2 linked regions of the Kluyveromyces lactis genome follow. The protein of the gene in region 2 interacts with the protein of the main gene of each other region in a biochemical or structural test. Links are inferred from orthologs where the notes say so. Each region holds a gene or a part of one and is shown on either strand. Other genes may lie near its edges.

What was found. The genes of interacting proteins can lie anywhere in the genome.
Region 1: the proteins of UBA2 (region 2) and AOS1 form a complex in vitro, tested with the Saccharomyces cerevisiae proteins (2 studies listed by BioGRID). The link is inferred for Kluyveromyces lactis from reciprocal best matches to the Saccharomyces cerevisiae genes UBA2 and AOS1.

The regions. Positions count from the first base shown.
Region 1 is NC_006041.1:431,087-433,764, forward strand, and holds AOS1 (E1 ubiquitin-activating protein AOS1), read left to right. Parts: upstream 1-913; coding exon 914-941; intron 942-1,053; coding exon 1,054-2,054; downstream 2,055-2,678. Other genes in the region: HDA3 (Hda3p), read right to left, coding at 1-538; GTPase-activating protein SEC23, read right to left, coding at 2,212-2,678. UniProt on the Saccharomyces cerevisiae protein: Could be involved in a ubiquitin-related process important for DNA damage tolerance.
Region 2 is NC_006041.1:285,535-289,299, forward strand, and holds UBA2 (E1 ubiquitin-activating protein UBA2), read right to left. Parts: upstream 2,454-3,765; coding exon 579-2,453; downstream 1-578. Other genes in the region: KLLA0_E03081g (Rho GTPase-activating protein), read left to right, coding at 1-281; isocitrate dehydrogenase (NAD(+)) IDH2, read left to right, coding at 3,291-3,765. UniProt on the Saccharomyces cerevisiae protein: The dimeric enzyme acts as a SMT3 E1 ligase. It mediates ATP-dependent activation of SMT3 and formation of a thioester with a conserved cysteine residue on AOS1.

The DNA.
Region 1 (2,678 bases), about 150 kb from region 2:
GATGGCAAGTACATGAGAAATTTTTTGGCTTATTCTTTGTCTTTATAGTTTGGCCATCATGTCTAACAATATTCACCTTATTACCAAGTAGGAGAGCCTCTAAGAGATCCATAGTTCTGTCGGACCTTGCCATTAATACAGTGTGTGTCTCATATTCTTGAACAAGAGTAATAAGATCTCTCAAGACAGCAAATTTTCCCGATGTCTCAGCAAGGTGGCCAGGAATGTCCTTTGTTATCAAGGATTTTGGCATAAAATGGTCGATTAAAAGGTAAGGGTGTGTAGCAACATATTCACTATTCAAACACATCGATTTCATAGACCCTATTACGATATCTTCTCTATAATCTGATGTTTCAAAGTACTTCAAAATATCTGAGTAATGCAACGATACAATTTGGTCGGTTAACTCTTTCTGATATAAGCACATGGATGCAGGTAACCAATAGTCTCCAGACGTGTCTCCAGAAACTCCCATTGTTTGTGCATCGACAATCGCAGGATCCGGCGCAGTATCTAAAATCTTCAGTAAATCCATGATGCACTGAATTTTTCTTTCTATTCAACTAATTGGACGATTTAATGCTCTGGATAGTGGAAGTTCTCACTTTTGAGTGCTGCTGACACTAATTCTCAGATTAGCAATTGTTTTCACAGTAAGGCGTCTGACGGTACTATAGCCTGCACATCATAATTCCTGCTGTTTATACTTTTAAACCAATGCTCATTTTTTGATCAAAAAAAATCCAACCGTAATAGAAGCCTAACATGAAATTAAGATCACTCAAGCTGAGAAGTTCATGAACGAAAATAGTGAACTGTGCTAACTGGAAGCATTGATAAGAGTCGACATACTTGGAGAATTAGTTTTACAATTAGCTAATAACTAACCGATTGTAGTGACGTACAAATAATGAGTGGCGCAGGAGAATTGAGTGCAGGTATGTCAACATGATAAGATATTTCAATCATGATATCAAGTAATGAATATAACCGGAATAGGCTGGGAAAGTGAGTTTATTTACTAACAACAGGGCATTCTAATCCCAACAGATGAAATTGCTCTATACGATAGGCAGATCCGGTTATGGGGAATGACAGCCCAGGCCAATATGAGATCTGCCAGTGTTTTGTTAATTAATTTAGGTGCGATTGGTAATGAGATAACGAAAAATATCGTTCTAAGCGGGATTGGTTCATTGACCATATTGGATTCTCATGATGTAACAGAAGAAGATTTAGGTGCCCAATTTTTTATCGGAAAGGATGACATTGGCACGAAGAGATTGGAGGCCGCAAGGCGCCATATTGAAGATATGAACCCTAGAGTTAAGTTAACAGTGGACATATCAGATCTTCAGTCCAAGAATAAAGAATTCTTTTCACAATTCAATCTAATAGTCATAACGGACTTATTTCCCGCAGATATTGAAAAATTGAATGAAGTGACTAGGGAACTTAATGTACCTATCTATGTGGCAGGTATCAACGGGCTCTCTGGTTACATTTTCACTGATCTAGTGGAGTTTATATCCACTGATGAAAAGGTGAAGAGTGCTCGTCCTGAACAACTCGGTAAACAGAGCCCCAATAAGGAAATCATCAATCTATCTGAACGGAAGGATGAAGAAAATAATGCAGTTTATCAGGTCATTACCACCAAACATACTTATAAGCCATTGAAAGAACTTCTGAAATCTGCTACACTTATTAACCAATTGTCTAGACGGCAATTGAAAAGAATGACTCCAAAGGTTCCCTTAACTCTTACACTATTACAGTATGAAACTTTTCAAAACATAAATTTAGATGATTTTAGGAAGAAGTATGATTTAACTCGTAAGCAGCTTGGTTTATTAATTGGAGAAATCAGCAATGATACCATTGAAGAATTTGTTGAACAAGCCGCTGTAGAAATCAGTCCTGTGGCAGCAATCATTGGAGGAGCCGTTGCACAAGACGTGATAAATATTCTAGGGAAAAGGCAATCTCCGCTTAATAACTTCGTTGTTTTTGATGGTACGTCTTTAGATATGTGGGTATTCGAACTTTAATGACCCTGGTTTAGTAATTTAGCAATCAGTATCATTATATAGGACTAATTTATATAACATATGCTCATAAAACGCTTTATGAGATTTTTATCAAATATGTACCTGGTTGGAAAGCATAAGCATGGTATGTTCAACACTACTGCCATCAGGACAATAATTATGTTTGACCATTAACAGTTACTTGTTGCAAGTGGGACATGAAATTTTGTAAAGAAACATCATCAGTCAACACGATAGTTGAACCAGCGACAGCACCACTTTGATAACTGTCAGATGGGTTCAACTTGGATAACAAGAATCTGGCTTGCGAACCGCCAGCCTCAGTATCAATGAATCTTGGTAGAGGGAATCTGTCAATCAATAATTCTGCTGCTTCAAGCTTTGGTTCTTCTAATAAGGACTTGAAGTCTGCATACTGCGGATCATCTTGGTAACCTGCTTTTCTCCATTGAGCAATCTGTTCACCGTGATAAATCAAAATATAAAAGAAGGTATCCAACAACAAAATTGTGTTTGGTTTCACTGAAACAGAATCTAACAACACTGGTTGAGGTTCTTCTTCCATGGAGAATGAGGTTAGAGTAGGCTGAATCATAATCAGTGAGTTAGTGGTATCTTCTCTAG
Region 2 (3,765 bases):
AAATACCCTTTTTAAACAAGCTATTTGTTAGTGATACAGAAGATGAGTATGATAGTAGTTCAAGACCATCTTCGCCTATGCTGCGCAAGACGGGCAGCACAAATAGTGCAAAAATGTTACAACTGCCTTCAATAGTGGGCATAAGTAAAGATGATTTCCCAACCTCAAAGACAGACAGCGACTTCGAAGATGGCCAAGAGGAACGTCAACCAAGATCCAAAAAACGAGAATCTTGGTTGCAAAGACTAAAAAGTCATTCAAGATCATCTATTCGAGAATAACCTGATATACCGTAATGTTTGTCACACAATATTTCAACTTTGGCAAATGGGCATATAACTGTTTTCTCATCTATGATAATGGTTGAATTCTTCTTTATTTTTCAGTTTTGGTTTTCTGGCAGTTGTAATCATTGTTTGTACTTTCCTCATCATATTTGCCATATGTTACTACGTAATAAAACTCCAAAAAATGTTGTACTATTATAATTACAGTTCTTTAATGTGCGTTTATATATATATATATATCCATCACTGTAAAACAGATATCTATAGATATGGAAGACTAGCGATGCTCAATTAATCGAGCAGGATAAGATCATCTTCATCAGATTGTGATGCATTCAACTTGGGTGTCTTTGTTGGTGGAGATGGAATACTATTTGAAAGATGCCTCTTCAAATTATTCCTTTCATCCTCGGCAGGCTCATCATCTACTATCAGGGTTTCGATGGCTTGAATATGGTCTTCAGTTCTATCTTGGTCTGCATCGACAGCTGTTTGTTCATCCTCTGCATTCTCATAAGGGGAATGATAAGTGTATGTATCTCTTGGTAGATTTGGTAACTGAAGGTCTTCCCCGCTATTTTCTGGTACAAATTCCAAGTAGAACTCAATTGACTGCCTTAATTGAGCACCATCTTCCATTTCCTCGTCTTTATAAAGAAGAAAAGTACCAGTTCTGAAGTTGAATCTTGAAAGCTTCCGGCATTCTAAATCATCAAAATCAAAATCGTACAATAAGCTGTTAGTATTAGTATCGAGAACGGAGTATTCACCAGTGAACTCATATTTTGAAATGATTTTCTGATTAAGATCGTACAAAGACATGTGCTCAACAATTGCCTTTGGTATTTTCAGTACGGCTCTTTGAATGTTAGAAGATACTGAACAATGAGGATTCTTGGGTGCGAGAGTTGGATTCGATAGATACCTATTTGTGGTGATATTACTTGCCCTTGCCGTAAATGCCATTGGAATTTCTAAAGGATTATTTGATACGTTACTCAACAAGTTTAGAACACGTAAAGAAACCAATGAAGAAAGACCGGCGATGATCGCGTTTGTAGTGGCAATGGCAGGAATAATGTTACCAGCCATTTGTTTAATATCAAAGACAGATTTAGGTGCAATGTGGAAGATGTAAGATCTGATATTCGCGGCACAAGCTACAAACAATAAGGTATCGTCATCATCCTTATCGAATTCTATGAATGGTTCCTGCCTTAATCTCAACATCAATGTCTTCGTAACTTCGATAAACTTATCTACATTTTCTTGCAATGTCCATACCTGAGCTAGATCTGTTGGGATATTATCAGATGGTAGTAAAGCACCTAAAGGTGTTGGTTTCACTCTCGTTTTCCAAAGATTTTCAATCTTTAGAAGTTTATTGATATCATCGACGAACAATTTCTTTAAAATATCTGTGATTTTCGTCTCATCGCCGGACTTGACTAACTGCTGGAGAGCATGTAATTCGTTAGTCTCCTCTTTGATGCGGGCGATTTCTTCTTTATCATCAGTACCTAAATCTTGATCATTTACGGTCTCTTCTGAGGATTCTGCAAAAAGTTGGCCAAATAGGAAATTCTTGGCCCAAACCACACAGTGGATTGGCTGTGATGGCGTGGATCTAATGGTACAGACCGGGAACGTAGTTGGTGTCTCCTTAGTGGTGCAATCAAAGCATTCAGTGACACTTGGGAAGATTGGCTGTATGTATCCATCGAATCCCGAAGTCCCAGATTCGATCAAAGGTTTATTAGTGAACTGACACATCTTATTGACGTATCTTCTTGCCGCTAGATTGTCCAATGCATTGTATATAATCGAAAACTGATCAAACCACGAAAGTGGGAACTTTTCTGTATCCATGATATTATTCTGATATGAAACTAGTTTAGAGTTGCTGAACCTTTGAACTGCTTTCATTGCAGTATTACTTTTAGGTTGTTTAATATCTCTCTTCCTAAATAAAAACTGTCTGTTCAAATTCGATAAATCAATAGTGTCCAAATCAACGATATGGATTTCACCTATTTCCAACAAAATCAAATCCTTCAAAAGCTCACAGCCAATTCCACCTGCGCCAACAAGTAACACCTTCATATCGCGCAGCTTTTCAAAGCTTTCTTTACCTATGCATTTTACCAAATTCGTCTCTCTTGCCATCGTGAATATATGCCAAACAATTGGTTGAGCTCTAAGTCTTTAGCTAAAAACTTTAAATGGTTATCAATGGAAAATATCAACAATTTGATGTTTCAAATGGTAAGCTGAGTATACTTTTTTCCTTTTAAAGGGTAGTTGTCCAAACAAGTAATGTTGCACTCTTTAAAGGAAGGTTCATAATATTCAATGGATGGCCAGCTACTATTTTTCAACGATACAATGAAAACAGCAGAGAAAAAAAACACAGTCACGTGCAAATAATTTTCACATCACATGACTGAAACCGAGGCCGTGTTCGGAGTTACCCTCCGTGAACCATCATCCTTTTCTCGGTCCCGAAACGATTTCCATGACGAGATGTTTTCCAATTCGCTGCACTACTTCGAGCCTATGTGTGCTCAGTTAATGTTGATGCATATGGGAAATTACATTAAGTATCTGAGAAATATAAATCGAATATATATATATCCTAAAATAAAGGATTTCAGAATACCTGTCGATTTCTGCAATTGAACACGGATAAATATAAGCTCGTTTTCTCGAGGTAAGGTTCTGTCTTTCCGACTGTTGAGTGATACAAAAGCAGATAAAAGGGTGTATATATACCAGTGTTATTTTGTGGTTTTCATTTTTTCCAATTAATCGTTTATCTTCTAGAGTAAGATTAAACAGAGAATCAACGTAACGACGAACTGAAATAACTCAATTCGTATCTTCAAGTCAAAACGAACGTAACCCGTCACTGATTTGACACAATATCAACGAAATTCGTCAGACACATATTTTTGGGATTTCATTATTTCTCTCCGTTCTCCTCAACAATCATACTATAAAGACATGTTCAGACAATCAATTGTGAAGCAATCGTGTAGATTTTTGGCTACCAAGAAACAACCAAGTATCGGTAGATACACCGGTAAGCCAAACCCAAAGACTGGTAAGTACACTGTTTCCTTCATTGAAGGTGATGGTGTTGGTCCAGAAATTTCCAAATCCGTTAAGGCGATCTTTTCCGCAGCCAAGGTTCCTATTGAATGGGAAAGTTGTGATGTGAGTCCAATTTTCGTTAACGGATTAACTACTATTCCAGATCCAGCTGTTGCTTCAATTAACAAGAACTTGATTGCTTTGAAGGGTCCATTGGCTACTCCAATTGGTAAGGGTCACAGATCCTTGAACTTAACCTTAAGAAAGACTTTCGGTTTGTTCGCTAATGTGCGTCCAGCTAAATCTATCGAGGGTTACAAGACTACTTACGAAAACGTTAACTTAGTTTTGATCAGAGAAAACACTGAAGGTGAATATTCTGGTA